Linked DNA regions of Neurospora crassa OR74A. The protein of the gene in region 1 interacts with the protein of each later gene in a pairwise test. Links are inferred from orthologs where the notes say so. Each region holds a gene or a part of one and is shown in the gene's direction. Other genes may lie near its edges.

What was found.
Region 2: the proteins of NCU02406 (region 1) and NCU01367 interact in binary tests that used the Saccharomyces cerevisiae proteins (3 or more experiments, as listed by UniProt). The link is inferred for Neurospora crassa OR74A from reciprocal best matches to the Saccharomyces cerevisiae genes SGD1 and RRP9.
Region 3: the proteins of NCU02406 (region 1) and NCU01266 interact in binary tests that used the Saccharomyces cerevisiae proteins (3 or more experiments, as listed by UniProt). The link is inferred for Neurospora crassa OR74A from reciprocal best matches to the Saccharomyces cerevisiae genes SGD1 and PLC1.

Annotation. Positions count from the first base shown.
Region 1 is NC_026507.1:2,608,938-2,616,219, reverse strand, and holds NCU02406 (nuclear protein), read left to right. Parts: upstream 1-2,663; 5' UTR 2,664-2,736; coding exon 2,737-2,806; intron 2,807-2,895; coding exon 2,896-5,585; 3' UTR 5,586-5,853; downstream 5,854-7,282. Other genes in the region: NCU02404 (RNP domain-containing protein), read left to right, coding at 1-127; NCU02405 (hypothetical protein), read right to left, coding at 1,623-1,954, 2,127-2,205, 2,288-2,311; NCU02407 (dihydrolipoyl dehydrogenase), read left to right, coding at 6,908-6,966, 7,054-7,106, 7,179-7,258. UniProt on the Saccharomyces cerevisiae protein: Involved in osmoregulatory glycerol response, probably through its interaction with PLC1 which regulates the expression of GDP1.
Region 2 is NC_026505.1:3,789,053-3,796,541, reverse strand, and holds NCU01367 (rRNA processing protein RRP9), read left to right. Parts: upstream 1-2,622; 5' UTR 2,623-2,809; coding exon 2,810-4,699; 3' UTR 4,700-5,015; downstream 5,016-7,489. Other genes in the region: pcb-4 (proteasome component C11, variant), read right to left, coding at 1,222-1,423, 1,510-1,759, 1,834-1,991, 2,048-2,049; NCU01366 (hypothetical protein), read right to left, coding at 5,510-7,489. UniProt on the Saccharomyces cerevisiae protein: Involved in nucleolar processing of pre-18S ribosomal RNA. Required for efficient pre-rRNA cleavage at sites A0, A1 and A2, and biosynthesis of 18S rRNA.
Region 3 is NC_026505.1:3,447,337-3,454,701, forward strand, and holds NCU01266 (phosphoinositide-specific phospholipase C), read left to right. Parts: upstream 1-2,498; 5' UTR 2,499-3,431; coding exon 3,432-6,887; 3' UTR 6,888-7,199; downstream 7,200-7,365. UniProt on the Saccharomyces cerevisiae protein: The production of the second messenger molecules diacylglycerol (DAG) and inositol 1,4,5-trisphosphate (IP3) is mediated by activated phosphatidylinositol-specific phospholipase C enzymes. Required for cell growth, osmoresistance and expression of GPD1.

The DNA of each region.
Region 1 (7,282 bases):
CCAGGGTTACCAGTATGGTGGACGTCCTCTCGGTCTGAGTTTCGTCAAGTACCTTAACCCTGGTGCTGGCGGCGACAGCATGGATACCGACCCCCATGGTGGCCTGACACAAGATCAGATCATGTAAACTGATTACCGACCATCGCGTCAGTCATACTGGTTGAAGCAACAGATTTCCTATGATAGTTTGGGATTTTCCATTTGGAGGTTGTATTATATGACTGGATTAAGCCTGTCTTCGATGTGGCGCTCGGTTCAATCTTTCCAATTGCACTACTTGTCTACGGACAGGTGGCTATGGTCAGGGATTTGGTGGCCATGAGCATTGGCCTGGGATGGGGCAGTAGTCTGAATGGCCGCATGACAAGCATGTGAAGGATGGTGTCGGAGGAAGGAGATTGAGGAAGTTGAATTTGCGACATGCTTTACCTTGCCCAGTTCTAGCACATGGGACAAGTAAATCCCACTGAAACTTGTTGCTCTTTTTGCGGCTGACATTTGGCTCTTCGGCCTTTCTTTCAGCAAGTTGTTTACGGTTCGGACCCTCAAAATGGACAGTTGATCTTGTTTCACCTACATCCCCCCACCTTTAGACTGTACTCTTGAAGAGAACATGCAATTATCTCGGTTGACCTTAGGATTAAGGTCGAACATTGGAACTGCGACTCTTGGTAACCTGAATCAAAGCCAATCAAGGTGAAGCCAACGTGATGTGACGTGTTCGTGGTGTTTCATAATGGTGAATCGAGTGGAGAACGGGTGAGCCGGTTGCCCTTCAGCTGATGCTCATAAGTGCGGCTCAAATATATCTACGCTTGACGTCAGGGTACGGTAGCTGCTGCTCCACCCGGGCAGTCTTGTTATTTTACCAAATGAGAAATGTTAACTTTGCTAATAGGACCGTTTAGATCGAGTCACCTGGAGATACACGCTCTCCCGGTGATCAAGTTCACACCCAAGACAGGATCGTGAAGGCCAGCCAGCAGATTTGGAACAAGCATATGAACGTTATCAATTCGGCTCGCTCTTACTCTCCCCTTCGTTCAACAGCTTCTCTGTTGAGGCACAGCAGTCGTTCTCTCACGCTTCTTCCGTCACTCATTCATTTCATGTTCCTCTCTTTCCCTTCCATCTCCATTTCCACGAAGGGCCGCATACTTCCTGCGGCAGGACTGAACATTCTCCAGAACGGGCATATGATCCCTTTAGTTCGCACCTTTCATTAACTCCAGTAGCTCACGTAGATAGTAGATGTGCGCTGCACGCTAGATAGGCAGCTGAGCTTTTCATATTCCCCCTTCCCCCCCTCTCCCAACACCTTTTTTTTCTTCCCTTCCTTTCTCGCTAGTCGTCTTGAAGGGTAATACCAACTACGAGCAGGTGAGTCGAGAGGTAGGGTAACCGAGAGTGGCAGATTGAAGGCTATGATGCGGTACTACTCACCAACGCTTTCCTTACCATGCGTACCCACTGACTTGAACCAGGGTATTCCACCAAAGCTTGGGAATATTACAAAATTTAATACGGTACCCTCATACAGATCCCTCCTTCCGTTAGGTCATGTACACACAAGAAGACAGAAACAGCAATGGTGTAATTTGCAACGCTTGTTTCGAGTCCAATCAGGGAATAGCCATCATAGAAGTCCCACCAGCACCAACACCAGGACCTCCAGCGGCTGCAGGACCTGTCTTCTTCTTCCTCGACTGCTTTTTCCTCTTGGTCCTGTCTCTCGGCTTCAATGCCCCCATGCCCTTCTTGCAAACATCGGCGTACCTCCCGTAGAAGGTTTCCAGGTCGGCTGGCTCGACAATGGTGGACAGCTTGACCTTTTCTGTCCTCTTGTCCTTGCCCTTGGCGTTGGTGGCGCGGATGAGAACCGGGAGCGGGGTGGCAGGGTTGAGGTCAGTGAGAGGGTCGGTATCCGTGGATTGGGAAGGGGTGCTGTAGGATACTGTGGGAGGGTTAGCTTTGGTGACGGAGCTTCACTCTACTTAGCTCATCGTGGGTGGATGGAGATGGAGTTTAAGCTTGGAAAACAGCGGAAATTGGGAGGATTGTCGTGACGATAGCAAAGCCGAGTGTGAAGTTTCCTGTCTGCGCTGGGTTGGTGTAGGTACACGTACGCCTCTTTTGTACTAGGTTGATGGTTCCGTGATCTTGGTTCTTCCTATACTCGAACAGATTGGTGAGCTTGGAGAAGAACTATATACCATAGTCGGTTGAAGTCAGATTAGCATGGTCTCCTCAGGACGGGATCACAGCAGCCAGTCACATATAACATTACCTCATCGTGAGTTAAATGACCCATGATATCCAGTTGTTTTTCGTCTTCTTCTTATGCTCGTTTGCAAAAGGCAAGACAACAATTCGGCTGAGGAGTGAATGTGAAGGCAACCTAGAATGATTGATGAAAGTCAACGAGAGTGGCAGCTTTCCCCACTGCTGTTGGCCGGGCAGCTCCCGTCTGTCTGGTAGGAGTGAGCTTCCCCAGCGTAAAACCAGCCGGGTGGGGTCCCAAGCAGCGGAGGACCCGCTTCATCTCTTGGCGCTCTTGGCCCCGCAGTCGACATGCCTGGAACCCTGCACCGACCGATAACCAAAAAAACTATCTGATAACGATAGCAAGGTCCCGATCCCGCGCTCTTCCATGCAGCGACGGACGAGAGAGCCTTGCAAAGTTTGGAGGTCGTGCCAATCAATCACATCTACACCTCCGCACGCGCATATTACAACATGGCACCCTCCATGAGGATAAAGGCTCCAAAATTGCCTGACAACCTCCTGAAGGAGCTCGGCGTAGAAGGTGAGCGTGCCTCCGTTCATGCGCCCATACAGCCATTGTCATTCCTGCCTGGCAATCAGGGTTCTCCGACGAAATCCTAACTCTTGCAGGACAATCTCACGGAGGTCGCAAGAATCAATTTCAGTCTAGAAAGGATCGCCGTAAAGCAGAGAGAACACAGAAAAGGATTCACCGCACCTCGTCCACAAGAAGTTACCATACCGAGCGCGCTACAGCCCCAAAACCACAGAAGAAGGTCGATGCCGCATCGTCAAAGGAAGCAAAGGAACCCAAGCCCATCTTGAAGAACGGGAAGAAACGATCATTGGAGGATGAGGATGAAGATGTTGCCCTCGAAGAGGACGATGATGAGGATTTCGATGACGAGGGCGATATCGATCTTGACGAGGACGAGGACGATGAGCTAGACCTCGACGAAGAAGACGACAAAGACGGCGAAGACGTGGACGATGAAGAGGAAAGTGATGTCCCAACACAAACCATATCGAAGTCGCAGCCCAAAATCTCAAAAACTGTCATGGAACGATTGGCGCAAGACGACAAGGAGATCGCAGACCTCGAAAAGAAGCTCGGCATCAAGGGACGCAAATCGCTTCCCAAGTCCTTCCAGGAGGATGGTCTTCTTGATCTACTAGAAGGCCTTCCTGGCGTAGACGACGAAACAGCCGAGAAAAGGAAGCGGAAGTCCGAAGCGGATGAGTGGCTTGCGGCGAAAAGGAGGAAAGCGGAAGAGGCCAAGAAGACGAAGGAATTCGAACTAGACGAGGAAGAAAATGAAGTCTCCGAACTGGACGAAGAGGACGATGGCTTGGACGATCTCTTAGAGGGATTGAACTCGGACGAAGACAACGACGTTGACCAAGACGAAGACATGGTCGAAGGCGATTCTGATGAAGATGGAGAAGAAGACAGCATCTTGGGCGAGGATGAGGGGGATTTTGGAGGATTTGACGAGGACGACGACGAGGACGACGACGAGGACGACGGCGACGACGACGAATCCGACAACGACGAAGAAACGCTACAAAAGCCGCCAGAACGGGTCCGCGAAAACCCATATGTTGCGCCTACAACTGGGCGGACTGTAGTGAAATACGTGCCACCATCGAAGCGACAGGAGGCGGGCTCAGAAGCGGAGTTGGTGGCCCACATTCGCCGTCAAACACAAGGTCTCATCAACAGGATGACAGAGTCTAATCTTTTATCCATCATTATGGACTTTGAAAAGCTTTACCGCGACAACCCGCGACAACATCTTACGTCGAACATTGTCGATCTCCTACTCATTCAGGTGTGCGAGCCAACGACGCTGCCTGATACGTTGCTCGTGCTTACCGCGGGTTTCGCTACGGGTATCTTCAAGGTGATTGGCATGGACTTTGGCGCACAGTTAATTCAAGAAGTGATCGAGCGATTTGATAGGCATTATGAAGAGGCCAAAGAGGCTGCAAAGGAGCGGCCAGACGTGCCGAAACAGACATCCAACCTCATCACTTTCCTATCCGAACTCTATAACTTTCAACTCGTGGGCCCTAACTTGCTCTTCGACTTCATTCGAATCCTTTTGGGTGATCTTTCGGAGCTGAACGCGGAACTTTTGCTCAGAATTGTGCGCATTGCTGGCCCAGCCCTCCGACAAGATGACCCCATGTCTGTCAAGGACATTGTTACCCTTATCCGCCCGGCTGTTGCCAAGATCGGAGAGAAGAACCTCAGCGTCAGAACTAAATTCATGATTGAGACCATCAACGACCTGAAAAACAACAAGATGAAGACGGGTTTAGGCGCTTCCGCCGTTCTCACGGAGCACACAACCAAGATGAAGAAGCTTTTGGGCACCTTGAAAACCATCAAGACGGCCGAGCCCTTGCGAATGACCCTTGCCGATATACGCGATGCCGACAAGAAGGGCAAATGGTGGCTTGTAGGCGCTAGCTGGGCAGGCAGAGATAAGGACAGTGACAAGAAGCCATTGACCCAGGACGGTGTCATACAGGATAGCGTTGACTCGGACGACGAAAGCTTTGTCTTGGAGGATGTCGAGGACATGCCTGACCTCGGAGAACTTGCCAGAGAAAACCAGATGAACACGGACGTGCGCCGGTCCATCTTTGTGTCGATAATGTCCGCCACGGACTACGAAGATGCCTACTACCGCATCCTCAAGTTGCGCCTGAACAAGGAGCGACAGAGAGAGATTCCATACGTGGTCATCCAGTGTGCCGGCGCAGAGCAGGTCTACAACCCATACTACACCTTGGTGGCCAAGAAGCTTTGCGGGGATCGCAAAATCCGGTGGTCGTTCCAAGACGCGCTCTGGAAGCTATTCAGGCGTCTCGGAGAGTCAGTTTTTGGCGATGACGCGGAGGATGAGGAGGATGTAGATGCGATGGACATGCGGCGGCTTGTCAACATTGCAAAACTGTTTGGGGCCATGGTGGCAGGTGGATCGCTAGGATTGGCAATTCTGAAATGCCTCAATTTGCCTTATCTACAAACCAAGACGCGGGCGCTAGTGGAGATCCTGCTGATTACTGTGCTTCTTGAAGCCGGAAAAGGCGGCGACAAGGATCGGGATGAGACGATTACTTCGGTGTTTGTGGCTGTGGAAGGGGTCCCCGAGCTTGCCAGAGGCCTGCAATGGTTCATCAAGAAGGTGGTCCGGAAGTCGGATCTCGCGGGAGGGGCGGCCAACACCAAGCTCGTCAAGGAGGGTTGCAAGACGGCCATGGCGGCCTTGGAGCATGCGCTGCTCGCCGCCGAAGGCTTGGTGGAATAATTTTGCTTTGTTGGATACCTGTATATGGATCGGATATCTTCGGGAATAGCAACATAATGATCAGGGATACAAGTGTGCCGGGGTCTATACAAAAGGCCATTGACCAATATCATGACAAGTTCATGGAACTAACCCAAGCATTCTCGCTCGAATGTAGTTACCTACTTTGTAGATATTAGCGTTGACGGCGGGACTGGAAAAGTTGGGGGTAGCTTTAAGTTGGGGAACTTGTTGTCAGGAAGGGCGATTTGCTACTAGGGATCCAGGGAGCAACCGACTCGAGTGTGCGGGAGCCCGGAAATATAGTGGTCTGTGAATAGCACTCAATGATGTCATTTCGTCTTGCAACGAAGGGACAGGGTTTCATGAGGGTCGGGCGGGACTCTTGATTGTGGACATGAAGAGGAGGCAGATGGTTTGAGATGAATTGCCTGCCATGTGTCATGTCGTTCGACAAACAACTAACCTCTAAGACGGGTTAGGGACAGGTTATGCTTCTCCAATTCGGCAGCTGGGCAAGCTGGGGTTATTTGGCGTTGACGGGCGGAGTAAAGAGGGGAGCAAAGAGGGGATCGCGCCAAGGAGCAAGATGAATGTCAAACACAACCTAAGCTGTCAGAAAAATGGCTACAATACATAGCGGGAGTGCAGAGATGTCAAAATTTTGGAGTCAGCTGCTGCACGCCAAGTTCGTCTTGACCAATCACAGGACGCAATGGAGCGTACCTAGTACCGTACGTATTTGGGGACGGGTTTCTTCGACGAAGCAGTCAGGGCAGCAGCGACAGTAAAGTAAGACGGCGAAGAGCGCGCTGCCCGTCCCGCCTAACACTGGCATCATAGTACTTTTACTTCCTGTAGCACACTACCTCTACACTACTAACACGATCAGGCAGTACCTACCTACCTATTTAGTGTAGCGTACGCGAGATTAGAGGTACCTACTACCTACCTAGGTAGTGGTGTTCCTACTCCGCTCCGTTCGTACCTACCTCTACCTACTCCGCTCTGCGCTGTCTCGAGCGGGCCAGCTTGGGGACGGGCACGGTGGAAAGCGGGTGCCCTTTGAGCGATGTGAGCCTCTGACGGGCTGGCAACCCGAACAAGTGGGACTGGACATTTTTCGCTTGCCGTGAATAGCTTCCGCCTCGAATCCCAACAATTGTCTCTCCCGCGGCGTTTTGCAGTTCAGTACACACTTTCGACGTCTCACCATCGAATCGCATTCCCTGCTTCCCCGGGCATCTCTCTGCAGTGCGCTCGTTCCTTCGAATTTTCCCTGTTTCCATTTCTGGTTTTTCCATTCAGCACATACTTTCACCATGCTGTCCCAAAGATTAATAGGCCGTGCTGCCGTCCGGTCCGCCTTCAAGCCCTCGGGGTAAGCTCACTGTCCCGGTTGCCGGCGGATGCCCGACACACTGTTTTCTCATGCGCGTACTGAGGCTGACCTGACGACCACATACAGGCTCCCTGTCGTCGTTTCTCCCAGGTTGAGGAGGACCTATGCGACCGAGTCTGGTCTGTTTGCCAACATCAAGAGCTGGTTCTCGTCAAAGGATTCTGGTCGGCTGACTGTTGATGTGCCCGTAGAGGAGAAGGATCTCGTCATCATTGGAGGTGGCGTCGCTGGCTATGTTGCTGCCATCAAGGCCGGCCAGGAGGGTCTCAAGGTGCGTCGCATCGCGAATCAACTA
Region 2 (7,489 bases), on another chromosome or scaffold:
AACATGGAAACAAGCCATTGGCTTTGACCCCTTTGGCAGGCAAAAGGCAAATGGCACTTCCTTCGTCTAGGTGATAAGGGGCGGTTTGTCCTCTTGCCTCTTGTCGTTTTCTTCTATCCCGCGTTCAGCCGGCGGTGTTGCCGGTCTCATAAACATCCATCTATCTCTTTCTGCACCGATCTCCGCACCTTTTATCTAACCTTTGCAGATGTTGACAGCAGACACTCGGATGACAGTTGCAACAGCGACATACATAATCGGGCCGCTGATGCCCTCCGCTTTGGTGACATGTACGTTGGTAGGTATCAGCTGCAGAGAGACAGTTGTGTACTATCTTGGAAGGTTTTGCAGAAAGGCTCCGTCCTGAATTCCCCCACGTCGTCCCAAGGTATCACCAGTCACCAACCATCACGCTTGTAGCGCTCACCGCTTTCAGTGTTAATGGGCCTCGTCATGTCAGCCAGCGATCATACACTACATGGCTCGTACTACACACATGCACTTCAGCACATTCCTTCAAGTCCCTTTGCTGCGTCTTCTCTGCGTGTGCTTTTAATGATGCCGACTGAACATATGAAATTGGAATTGACCATTCACTGGCTCGAGCTCTTCTCATTTGGCTGTACAACAATTCCCTGACAATGTGAAATACTTTCTAGTTGTTTCAACGTTTACCAGTAGTCATGATTCATGTTACAGCTTGTCGGTTTCAGGTAGGTACACAATACCTCTACGGACTTCAAGTGCTCGTCGAGCCTCTGTCTCGATTGAAACCGAGTGCGGTGTGCGCTTCAATGTTATAATACTTTCGCCCATGATTGCCAGAGGACGTTAAACAGGTTCCTTAACCTCAACTGCCGTAACGATATCTGACCGGTTGGAGGAGTGTTTCGAAGAAAGGATCAAAAAGAAGCAACCCTGACGTATCGTATCGCGATGGTGTCGGTGGCAGGGTGTATGATCGGCCCAGACGCGCTCCACACGCCACACTGAAACCGGGAGCCGCAGAGACGGACTCTCGGACTTCACACCTCTAACATGATAGCCTTGTTTCTTCCTCTCTCTTTCTTTATGATCATCAAATTCGCCAGGGGTCTCCCGTTGGTGGAGGCCACCTGGACTCATGCATTTCCGTCGTATGGGTATTATTATACAGAGTTGTCCTTCCCCCGCAAGGCTTCCCAAGCCGCAAGCAGGCAAGTAAGCAAGCATCCCCACAAATCAAGCCATCTTAACCACCTTGTCGTCGTCGAACTCGATATCGATGATGCCGTCCTTCGTTACCGCCTTGACCGTCATGCCCTTGAAGTCTATGGGTAACCTCCTCTTGAGCTCGTCGGTGCACAGGTTGAGAAGCTTGATACCCTGGTGGAGGGTGATGTCTGGGTGGTGGTGCTTGTCGAGAATCGAGAGGCAGTAGTATCTGATGAGGAAAGAACCGGTCAGTGATTCTGTACATGACTCCTACGCATCAAAGACGGTACAGAGATATCGGTCGAGATCACATACTGTGCGTAGCCGTGGGCGGCATAGGGGACCTTCGCCAACGACGCAAGGTAGTCGAGCCAGTAGAGGCTGGGCTTGTGGGTGATAGGGTCGACACCTCCGAGAAGGAGGTTTACGTTGTAGGGTTTGCGGGAGCGCAAGCTCGTCGCAAGCTCGCCGCGGACAAAGTTGGCAAGGGCAGAAGGGGAAAGGTCGGTCCCGTTGCGCATGGAGTAGAGCTGGGCGTTGGCTTGGGTGTACTCGGCGAACTGCACTGTCGATGGGAACAAACAGTTGGTTAACTTGGTTTGGTTCAAAAGCGCCATCATCACGATATCGCTGCCGTACCTGTGTCGCCAGCTTCACCGGAGAATGCCATCAGTGTGTGCTTGTTCAGCGACCTTGTCTTGTCGTCGGATGCCTTCAGGATGGTCGCTCCCCGCATAGCGGCCTTGGACGCCGCAATGATGGTAAAGTCCTTGCCCGTGATGCCTAGTAAAACCTCCCTACATGCTGATCAGCTCTGATATCACCTCTCCAAGACATGACCGATGCGACGTACATTTTGGCTGATTGTTATGTGAGTGAATGGATGATATGCTGTTGTTTTGGTAAGCTTTGGCAAGTTGCGTTGGCTTGCACGGTTCTCGTCGTTACCTACCTATGGCGGGACAGGGCAGTTGGAGCTTGAACTGACGGCGACGGGGAACGCGCACTGGAGCTTCAGCCTGCAAGCTGACAAGACAAGCACGGGCCAGGCTGTTCAGGTGCCCGCTATCGTCTTCCATCTTTCCATTCCAGTCCCCAGAAGGGCTGAAAGCTGCAACCACTGGGCAGGCAAGCAGACAGCGAGAGAGACAGCCCCACTCCGTCATGAAACCTGCCAGGATGGCCCGGGGACGTCTTTTGGAGACAGCAAGAGCCTCCCCACCAGCCGACTACTAACAGCTCGCTAGCTCGGTTCCGCGTGACAGAGCCCCTATATCTGTTAGTGACGCAATAAGGTAGAGTGCACGGCACGGGGATTCCCTTCTCCGACTCGTTCAATTGTGCCAAGCCAGTGGAGGAGATCTTGACGAATCGGCGTGCTACTCCACCGATAGAAAGCCTGCAGGGTGGGCAACTTTTTTTTTTCTTCGAAGTCCATCGGGTCGGGTGTGTCTAGGCGCGAACGGCCATCCCAAAAATTTCAACTTTGATAGCCATGCAGCAGCGTTGAAGTGAAGCCGAACGCGACCCCAATTCACATTCCAGTGTCATTCTCTACCACCAGACGACTCCAGTGCATTTGCACCGACCGCCCCGGGCCGCAATTGCCAACACCATGTCGTCCTTTTTCACAGCACCCGCTGGGGAAAAGAAGAGGAAGCGTGCCTCTGCCAACGAAGCCCCCCAGAAGCGAGTTGCGACTGGCAAATCGACTGCCAAGTCATCGTCGGTCAGAGGCCCTGCCGCCAAATCACGTCCCGCAGCCCCCAAGAAAGCCGTTGAGCGCGACGAGTCGATATCCGGCAGCGACATTGACAGTGACGATGGCGACCACATTGAGAGAGAGGACGGGTCGGAAGGAGAAGAGGAGTCGGACCACGAAGGAGAGACGGCGGCTGAGAAGCGGTTAAGATTGGCACAGCGATATCTGGACAAGGCACGACAAGAGGTGGAACTGGAGGACGAGTATGCCTTTGACGCCGAGCAGATTGACCGTGATTTGCTGGCCGAGCGTCTTCAGGAGGATGTGGCCGAGGCCAAGGGCAAGGTTTACCGCCAGTTGGCTTCCAAGCTCGACTTTGACAAGGCCGCACACACACAGTTTCGATGGAATTCAGGAACGGTAACATCAGTCTCGGTTTGCGCGCCGTACGCTTACACCACCACGAAAGACGGCTACCTTACCAAGTGGAAGCTACAAGACCTACCCAAGAACCAGTGGCCACAGACGACCAAGAAGAAGCCAAAGAAGCCGCCTGCGCCGCCCAAGAAGAAACCCGAGAGAGTGTGCTTCAACAGGGCGAACCCGATCAAGGCAAAGGACAAGACATACCAGGGACACACCAACGCGGCCATCCTGACGGTCAGGGCCTCTGCCGACGGCAAGTTTGTTGTCACCGGCGGCGCCGACAAGCGAATGGTCGTCCATGACGCCGAGACCCTCAAGCCCCTCCGGGCCTTCACCCAGCACCGCGACGCCGTTACCTCGCTCGCCTTCCGCCGCGGCACTAACCAAATATTTTCTGCCTCCAAGGACCGGACAGTAAAAGTCTGGTCGCTCGACGAGCTCGCCTACGTTGAAACACTCTTCGGCCACCAGGATGAGATCCCCGACATCGACGCTCTGGCCGGCGAGCGCTGCGTGTCCGTTGGCGCGCGCGACCGGACCGCCCGCTACTGGAAGGTTCCCGAGGAGTCGCAGCTCGTGTTCCGCGGCGGCGTGTCGGAGAAGAAATCCCATAAGAACCGGGACCAGGCGGTGAACCACGATGGCACCATGGACCAGGTGGCCATGATCGACGACGAGCTCTTTGTGACTGGCGACTCGGCCGGCACGCTCTCGCTGTGGGGCATCAACCGCAAGAAGGCGCTGTTCACGCAGCCGTGTGCGCACGGCATCGACCCGCCGCTCAAGCCGACCGAGGTGTCTGCCGACGCGAATCCGGACGAGAGCGTGGTGCCCACCCCGCAGCCCCGCGCCATCACCGCCCTCCGCACCATCCCGTACTCGGACGTCATTCTCTCGGGCTCCTGGGACGGCTTCGTGCGCGTGTGGCGCCTGAGCGAGGACAAGAAGAAGATTTTGCCTGTTGGCGTGCTCGGTTCCAGCACGGCGCTGCAGCAGCTTGACCAGGCCGAGGCCCAGAAGCAGAAGGAGGAAGCAAAGCAGAAGGCAAAGGCGGAGAAGGAACCTGCAACCGCAAGCAGTGGGGAGGAGCAAGCGGACGACGAGGCCTCGGTGGATGGGTCGCAAGACAAGAAGAAGAAGCAAGAGAGCGGGCTGATTAGGGGTATCATCAATGACATTGCCATCTTCGAGCGCGGCAACCGCGGTCGCGACGGCATCTGCATCGTGGTCGCCACAGGCAAGGAGATGAGGCTGGGAAGGTGGAAGTACATGAAGGAAGGAAGAAACGGCGCTACTATCTTCGAGGTGCCCAAGGTTGCTAGGCGAGCGGGGGCTAAGGGGGAGGAGAGCGATGAGGAGGAAGAAGAGGAGGAATAGAGGAAGAAGATGGGAACCATACGTACGTTTGTTCTGTCTTGTTTTGTCTACCTCGTTTGACGGAGCGGGACATGGGAGAAACGCGGAGAATGAGGAAGAAGAGAGCCAAATAATCATCGCCTGTTGAAATTTGTTACAAAGTGCTCTGGACGTTATATCGCATTCGCGACAGCCAAGCTGTTCATAGACAAAGGAGAAGGAGAAAGTAGAAAGAGCAAGTATTGTACATACCACACTATATCTTTTAGGTAGCCTCACTGCATTTGAAGGGAGTTGAAAAGTTTCTGGTCATGAATCCATTCCACTAGATTTCCGATTAAGTTGTGCCACACAGAGCCATTAAAATACTATGGAATCTCTCACCAATATATCATCAAAGGGATGGTAAACTTCTTGTAATGTGCTCTCCGTGGAAAAAAATATCAACAGAGGATTGGTAGTTTGTTAGATCACGCTGCGCTACTTCTTCCTCCAGCACAAGGTTGAGGCTCCATCATCTAGCTCGAGACTGAGATGGCCACCCGACTCAAAGGTACTCCTCGAGGCCTAGCTGGACGTCAATACCGCCAAATATTCCGCCTGCATGATAAGATGTACAAGACTTGGGGAGTTCGAGAGTTTCAACTCCAAAACAATCAAGCAACGAGCTTCAAAAAAGACAACGCAGCCATGCTATACCAGCCATCGAGGCCTCAAGACCATGCAATGCAAATGGGCAGATGCATGAATGAATATGCTTACACCAACAATAAACATACAACAATGAACCAATTCAACGCTCTAACCAATCCACATACTCCTGGTCTTCACTCAGTTCTCATCAGTCAAGTCAATAGGCGTCATCTCCGCGCTTTGCACCGCAGGGATGTCAGACACGACCATCGCCGGAGGGGGTGAATCGGGGATCTCCTCGGACTTGGTCTCGGCCGTTTCCTTGGGCTTGCTGGGACGTGGCTGTCGCTGATGATGTTGCTGTTGTTGTTCTACACGGCGACTCTTCCCGCTACCAATTCCGCTTCTATCAGTATCGTCCACAACTCTCCTAGGTATTCTGGACTTCTGGCGGGTATGTTTATCGCTTTTTTTGTAGGTAGTTTTGTTTCCGTGGTTGACGTGATTGTTGTCCTTCTGCTCGGCTTTGACTTTGCTGCTAGTCGTCGACGGTCTTTGAGCTTCAGGAGTCGGGGGATCGAAGATCTCGATCGATTCGAGGGGTTGCGCTACAAGCTCAGGTGAAGGCGCCGTCTTACGTGCGGGTGGTGATGCCTTTGCCTTGCGTGCTGGTGACGATCTTCGCTTCCGTTCGACCAAAGGTGATTGCGGCCTTGGCGACTGTGATTTTAGCGACAGTAGCTTTGGCGACTCTGGTCTCTGCGGGGCGTTGGAGTAGAACGTCTGCGGGCTTATCTCCTGAGCAATACCCGAAGTCCGCCTGTCAGAGGCCGGAGAAGAGTCGGGCAGCTTTGGTATGAATTTGACCTCGGGGCTCTGCCTAGGAGTCCGCGAAGAGGCATGCTGTTTGGGAGAGTGCTCGTAGTCTTTGTTTTTAGACCGACGGATCTCGCCAGGCAAAGGACTGTCTGGCGAAAGGTGAGAGACCTTGTCCTTTGGTTCGGATTCGTCCCGTTCCAGATCAACAACAACGTTGTCGGCGGCTTGCTGGGGCCGAGTAGGCGGCCGTGGGATAGGTTCGAGCGGATCTGGCATATTCCTCTTTGAGCCACCACCTCTCTCGGCAGCCACAGCAGCAGTGTTAGTCACTGTTCCGGTCGCTGAAGAGGCCCCGTACGATAACGGTGACCTGAGAGCAGTTGTCGGCTTTGGAGCAGGAGCTGGTATGTTCGGGTTGGTGTTCCGGGAAACAACTGGCGGTCTAACAAATTGGGGCGCGGAAGAAACGTTGTCGGTTGCCGGATCATGGGACAAACCAGTGCGTCCCGAAGTCTGGCTCTCTGTAGCACTCATCACTGCGTCGGACGGAGTTGAGCTAGCAGCCTTGCGTCTAGCAGCTTCCTCCTTCTTTCTCTTCTTCTCCTCATCATGCTTCGCCTGATGTTCCTTTTGCTTTTCGAAAATGGTGTTCCGCCAATACTCCCGAAGTTCGGAAGGGTTAAACTCCCATCCAGGTTTTTCTCTCTGCATCAGGCAGTGAGCGAACCGGTCTGGGTCTTTGACGAACTCTTGAATGTACCCAAGCAGATAAACACCACAATCCGAGAAGTTGTTTTGCTCCGGGATGTTGGTCGCCTTGATTCCAATTTGTTTTGGAAGATCCTTAATCTTCGTTTGCTTTTTATCCTCGAATTCTGCCATAAGATACTTCTTGAGCGCTTGCACCGCTGGATAATGGCTGTTCCCCATGGAGTCCAGGGTAAGGATCTTCGTTTCTTCCGAAGGGTCCTTTTTCGGGAGCTTGGTTATCCCTTTAAGCCTTTCCCTGAGGTCATGGTCTGTGTCGTCGGCTACCAAGTCCACCACATCTTGTCCCGCGCTGTCCGCCTCGTTGCTGTCGGTTTCGATTCGGTCAACTGACCCGCAAGCTTCTTGAGCTTTGATCTCCTGCCCCTGGTCTCTAGCCTGTTCACAATCGATGTCTATCATTTCAACATCGTCTGACTTCTCGATGTTGCCATTCGATTTGCTCTCAGTGGAGTTGCTATCGCTGGTCTCTGTGCCACTAGTGCTTGAGTTCGTAGAACGCCGTGGGTGGTTTGGATCCAATTTGCCAGGGTTACAGATGATTGCCACCCACCAGTGATAGTACTCGTTGACCGGGACAATAATGTAGTC
Region 3 (7,365 bases), on another chromosome or scaffold:
ATTAATACGATGGTTAGGTATAATAAAGTATTATAGGGCGCGAGTAAGTACTAAGCTAAGATTTTGATTGTTGTGCGAGGAACAGGAAGAGAATCCTGTGCGCGTACGAGAACTATGTAAGGCACGCTTGTGCGTGGGTCTAGTATACGGACTACAGCACGTGTGCACGTGACTGCTGTACTGCACTCAGACAGCTGCAGGCTGGCTACACCACTGCAGTGCAGCACCCATCTATATACAGGAACATGGCAGCAATGCCTGTGACACTTCCCCACGAGTCCCTGATGAACCTAAACCAATGTAGTGTAGATCATCCGCGACGGCCCTGTCGTCCAGTGAGGGGGTGCCATGGAAGGTAATGAGGCTACTGTTGTAGCCCAATTCACCCCCATACGCTCAGGTATGAGATATCTTCCCAGCCCAACTCTCGGCCACACGACGTGGACATCCACTGCGGTCAGACAGACATTGGGGAGTACCTAGGAAGGCGGGAGGGGCCAAGTACCTAGGTAGGTATGTAGTGAATATGAAAGAAAGGGGAAGGAATGATGGAAAGGAGAAGGCAGGTAGAAGCTCGACGCTACACTATTTCGGATATACGGATGCGCTAGGTAGGCTCAAGGAGCCTGGCACGCCTGGGCATTCGTCGCAATTGGAAGAGGGAGCTCTGGGCGTGCTTTCAGAATTTTCTTTGTTGCAAAGATTGCTGCCCACAGCTGCCGTATTCCGTCCAAACTCATGCGAGTTTTGGCATGGCGCTCGCGTGCAATAGGTTCGTGGGAATCCCTTGCTCCGTCATTTGCCTCCGCTGCCAAGGTCCGCGGAACCTCCACGCTTGGACATGCAACCACTGGACTGGTACGCACCACTGTACGCAGTAGGTACCTAGGTTACCGCATCTTCTCACTTGTAACGGAACTCCTCAATCGGGGAAGAAGGCCACCACACCTTGTGCGGGCGTTTTGAGCTTGCTCTTAGCTGCATATGCAGCAATATGCCAACCGGATTGGCTAGTAAGCCTTGAGTTGTATTATGTATAAAGCATTTTCGTTACAAGTGAGAAGATGCGGTGGGTGGTAGGATGGAACATACAGCTTACGCTAAGACAGAGCGCCATTTCCCTGTAATATTTTCTGTATGGTGTCCTGGTAAGTATTTCTCCGTTATGCTCCTGCATTTCTGTAATTTTCACTGTCCACTCTGCGGTGGCACTGTGCACCGCAGTCTCACACTTGTAATCTGGGGCGCACCTTCCTAGAGGTAGGTAGGTATGTACTACCCACCCTCATTAGTTCCGAGTCTCCACCGATGTGGATGTCCAGTATGGATAGTAGTCGGCGGCCCCCTTCTGCCCCAAGCTCCCAGGATTAGGACCACCGCGGCGGACAGAAGCAACACAAAGCAAGCATTCAGAACAAAAGAAGCACCGATCGTATTTCGGCCACCCTCGCTCCCGTCTGCACCGCAACCACTACGACGCCAATAAGGTTTGCTCGACGAAACCTCACCTTTACGACATCACCTCGACTCGGGCCACTTACCTTCGAATTCGATACACGGCGGGCACAGTACGTGAAAATTTCAGCTGCTCAATGCCGCCGCTTAGTACTGCACCGACACTGAACCCACCTGCGACTCCAACTTTGAAATTCTGCTTCCATCGGGTTTTCCACTTTTTGATCTCTTCAGTTGCATTTCAGACCATACCTAACGGAACCCCCAGGGTAGGGGCAGGGCAAGGGCAGTTACACCCGACCACTACCGACTCGCAATACTACTCTACTGTACCTCGACACACTACATTGCGCCCCAAGCAATACATGCACCTTTTTTGATACCGTCGCTTCCTGTTATCCCGAACCATACGCAATACGTCCATATTCACATATCTATCCATACGCTACGTGGTACTTTACGACGCCCGGCCATCCACCTCTTTCTCATCCTAACCATCTGTACCGGCGGCCACACACCGTACAATCCTGGCTGACTCTTGCGCGGCTCTCGACACCTCTCCCAGCTCTAGCTCTCCGTCCAGCATCCAGTTCAGTCATCTCCAAGGTCCACTGCAACAGAACCCGCCTCATCAGTGTCAGTCATCAATGGGTTTATCCACTTTCTGTTCCTCTCTCTGAAAACGAGAAACTCGACGCTGCTCCACCATCACCTGGCTACACTATCATTGCCGCCGTTAACGGCCCCGTCACCGCCGACCTGTAACTCTACTATCTCCCGCCGGCTTCCTCGAGGCTCTCACCAGTCTTCCAGCTTGATTCTGCCTCTTCCTCCTGCTACTAACTACGTGGTGTATACCGCTGCTAGTGGGCGCATCCCTGGCCCTTCAAGCTGCTTGCCCATTCTCCAAGCTCACCACTACCCAAAGAAGGAAGACGACATCAGGGTCTGGGCGGCTCAACCACGAAGCGCAGCGCGGATACCTGCTACGTACCCAGAAGCGCAAACGCCGGTTCGCGTAAATTAGGCTCTGGGCAAGCCATCAAGCAAGGAAGGTCCGAGGTCGAGGTAGCAAAACGGGAGCCCGCCTCGACAGGAAACCAAGGGATCATACGGCAGCGCTTCATACCACACAACGCCGTTATTAGCTACAGCATCCGACGGGCCAATTCGAACCCAGCAGTCCAAGTACCCGTACTCACTGGACCGAGCGGCTTCCACCCAACGTATCCAACGTATCCAACGTCTCTTGGCCGTCAGGGTGGATCACCGAGCTGCCCCCTCCCCTTACTCTCCAATCCTGGACGGTTCCCAAATAGGAGCAGCTTGCATACGGCTGCCACCTCATCATTCTGCCGTGGGTTCACAGACCGTCACAAAACGGCGGCGGCGGCCCATACCTTACCCGCCCCTTCCTCGCAAAATCCTACACCTGCCACTGCATGCTTCGAGGTCTCCCGTGTACAATACCTGGGTCCAACCCCGTACCAGTACAACCGCCATACTTGCAGCCTCCCTGGTACCTAGCTACGGACTTACCTGCCTTACAGGCTACTTAGCTCGACCTGCTGCTCAACCCCCGTACGCCTCATTACCTTTGCTTCCTCACTTGCTGACTTGTGCGTGAGAGCAAGAGAGAAAACGCCAGAGTGGACTCGGTCATTGTCCACAACCATTCGCTATACCTGCTACAAGACGTCCCCTCCTGGAATCCACGCCTTGCCAGACCTTTCGACATCTATATATCTTTCCCCGCACTCTTCTTTTACCACCATAGGGGACCCAGCCTATTCTGACAACGCCTGGAAGATGCGACGAAAGACTTCTCATCACACATAATCCCGGTTTTTTTTTTTTTTTTCTCCTTGGTCGTGGCACAACCCATCAGAAAAAGACTTGGTCCATCACTTTGTTCGTCCAAGTTTGTTTGCAACGGCTTTGCCCCTAGGGGACCTCTCTCCCTTTTACCCAACATCATGTCTTCAACTACAGAGGCTCTCTTGGTTTCCCAAAACTCCCCTTCGACTTTGCCCGAGGCCATATCCCGTACCATGGCCCCAAATACCTCACCATCGCGGCGGGCACGTCCTGCTCATGTTCAGACAGCTCTCACGCTACAGCCCCAGGCTTTCACCAATGTATCTCCGCTGTCCGCCATAAGCACGTCGTCTGCGTCGCCCACGTCACAACAACCCTCTCCGGCCTTGACACCAGACACGGCCGGCGCCATATTCACAGAAAGCAGCTCCCTTCAGGGTTCCCCTGCGACTTTCGTATCTTCCACGACAAAGGGGATGGACTCTTACGCTTCTACGATTAAGGGAATGGAGGAACCAGTTACGCCTCTTAACCTCCCCGAGCCACTAGCCCCAGCCCCTTTGTCATCGAAGAAAAGCAGTAACTCGCTAAAAAGGAATGGAGAGAAAAGCGGCGAGAAGATCCCCAGGCAACAGAATGCTATGGGCGAGGCTCTGTCCAAAAGTAGCTTTGCGGGTAGTCTGGTCCGTCGCGCTTCAAACACAGTGAACAAAGCGCGCGACATACTTACACGAAGAGCATCAATGAACATTGTCAATCGGGATGCTGACCCGATGGTGGCGTCTTTGCGCCGTGGGAGCAACACCTTCCCACTCGGGGAACACAACTACAGAGGTCACTTGCTGGAATCAGATGATGAGTGTGCCATAGATGACGCCGGTCCGTTGGACGGGTTGCGAGACGCTCAAATTCCCCTGAGCATTGGACCCGAGATTCCGGTTGCTTTACGCCAAGGTGTCATGTTGAAAAAAATCAGCAAGAAGAAAAAGGAAAAGAGAATCACCCTCACCCTTGATCCAGACACTTCCAAGATATGGTGGGACAAGAGTCGAACAGGGAGAAAGTCTGTGTTCATCGATGACATCAAGGAAGTAAGGACAGCCGAGGACATTCGACAGTACCGTCTTGACGCCGGGGTTGAAGAATCTGAAGAGCCCAGGTTTTTCTCGATCCTGTATACAGTCCCAGAAAAGTCAGGAACCAAGGTGTTGCATCTCATTGCCCTGAATTCCACCGACTTTCGCAATTGGACCACGACACTCGATGCTATACTTCAATATCGCCAGGATTTTACGACAAACCTGATGGCCTTCAACGAAAAGGCCGTCCACGAGTTCTGGCAACGACAAATGAGAAAGAAGTACGCAGATAGGGTCATTCCGGCTGAAGGCGAAACCATTGAACTTCCCGACATTGAGAGAATCTGTCGCTCTCTTCACATGCACCTATCGCCGACAGAAATTCGCGACAACTTTAACGCTGCTAAAGCTGCCAAGGCTACCTCCAACGGGGTCTGTGATCCCACTTCCCCTTCCAGTTTGAACTTCAACGAGTTTAAAGAGTTCGTGCGGCTATTGAAGGCGAGGTCTGAGATCAGCCATGTCTTCAAGAATCATACGACCAACCCTAAAGCAGGGATGACGAGGCAAGAATTCATACAATTCTTGAAGGAGATTCAATGCGAAGACGTGGAGGAAGATTCTACGCATTGGAACAATATCTTCTCTCAGTTCGCGCGTAGACGCAGGTCCAAAGATGCCGAGCAGACCATCAGCGGGGATGAGTCATTGACCATATCTGAGGCTGGCTTCACTGGATTTCTCAATTCACATTTCAACAGTTTGCTCATCCAGGAGCCATCCGAATATGTTCTCGACCGACCAATGAATGAGTATTATATCTCAAGCTCACATAATACATATCTTCTTGGTCGCCAAGTCCGTGGAATCTCCAGTGTCGAAGGCTATATTTCGGCACTTGAGCGTGGTTGCAGATGCGTTGAAGTCGACTGCTGGGACGGCCCGAATGACGAGCCTTATGTGTCACACGGCCATACCTGGACCACAAGGATCAAGTTTGAAGAGGTGATCAAAACCATCAACAAGTATGCCTTTGTCAAGTCTCGCTTTCCTCTCTGGATATCGCTGGAGGTCCGCTGTAACGCTGCGACTCAAGCCAACATGGCAAAGATTATGATTGACATATTCGGCGACAAGCTTGTCCGGGCACCCCTCGATCCATCCTCGGATCGACTTCCCTCACCGTCTGACTTGATTGAGCGCATCCTCATCAAGGTCAAAAAGTCTCAGCCAGTACCTAACACACCATCTGAGGAGTCGCTGAAGACTGAGCGACCTGGTCGGCGGCGCGGCAACAGCCTACCCTCACCTTATCAGAGGCCGTCACCTTTACCATCTCCCATGGATAACACATCCGTCGCTGTTCCTGGAAGTCCCTCGTTGAGTCCAAGTCCGATGTTGCGAGCGACACGGCAAATTAACACCATCACGGAAGGCGAGGTTCATTCCCACGGGGGGCCTAGCAACAGCCCCAGCGAATACGAGAGTGATGCTGAAAAGGATTCGGGGAAGAAGGTGGTGAGCAAAATCAACCCTATCCTCGGTGAACTGGGCGTTTATTGCATGGGCGTTCACTTTGATGGGTTCGACAGCCCCGACGCTAAAAAGTTCAACCATATCTTTTCCTTCAAAGAAAAGACCTTTGCTGAGAGAAGCCAGCCGGGTGAAGCAAAGCGTGCTTTGTACCGTCATAACATGCGCTATCTCATGCGTGTGTATCCGAACGGAGGTCGGATATCTTCTAGCAACTTTGACCCGCTCCTCTATTGGAAGCGCGGGGTTCAAATGGCAGCACTGAACTGGCAAACATTCGATCTGGGGATGCAGCTGAATCAGGCTATGTTTGATAGTGGCACCGACCTGTCCGGTTATGTTCTTAAACCCCTCGAGGGACGTCAGATTCAAGTCGTCCCGACGGATGCTGCCGGGCAGCTATCGGGTAAAAGACCACGGAAGAGGATCTCGTTCAAGATTGAGGTCATCTCTGCGCAGCAGCTGATGAGGCCATTGAATCTTCCCAAGGGGCGGACGCTTGATCCCTACGTCGAAGTCGAGATTTTCCTGGCCGATGACAAGAGGAATAAGCAAGATGGTGCCACAAATGCACCAGCTCAGGAGACGCAGCTGAAATATCGCACCGACATCGTCAAAGACAATGGCTTCAACCCCGTTTTCAAAGGCAATAACTCTTATGAGTTCATTGTTACCACCAAGTACCCTGATCTCATCTTTGTGCGCTGGAGCGTGAAGCTTGGCGACAACAAAGGATACAACGACCGCAGCCCCCCCTTGGCGACTTTCACAGCTAAGCTTGGCGGCCTCAAGCAAGGCTACCGCACGATACCGCTGCTTGATCACAACGGGTATAACTACCTATTCTCGACCCTCTTCTGCAAAATCACCAAGAGCCAGCCTACCGATATCATGGTTACCTACTCCAGTGAAGTTCCAAGGAACAGTGTTAGCAGGATCAAGAACATTTTTAATCAGTCCGGCATCAGCCCCAAATCCAGCATGGATAGTGGCCGGGCCTGAGTTGTTTCATGCGGTTCGTTTCGGTACTGTATCAATATCACCATTTTTTTCTTCCATTGTCTATTGCGGATGTATTCAATCATCTCGAGCGACCATGTATCATTTACTATCTCGGAGCACTGCACGAGCTGTTTCATCTTGTGTGGGAAGCCGCATGTTTTTGCTCCATTTTTCAACTGTCTCATTGTTTGTGATCTAGCACATACACCTATACCCCCAATTTCCAAACATTTCCTGGTCTAGCGCTGAGTGTTTCGATCCGATTCCCTTGTCCTGAGGATGTTGTCATTTCTTCCTTGTCGTTCGGGCGGGCAGAGTCTCTCCTATCATTGGGGTTGCATTTAGGACTGGAACGGTTGGTGTATCAAGCAAGTCTCTGCTTTTTTTTTCATCACAATGCATTAACTCTTGTTGGGCAGCGGGTTTCTGTTTGGATTATGGCTACGTCAACACCGAGAGGGCTGCTTTTGAGGTCTTT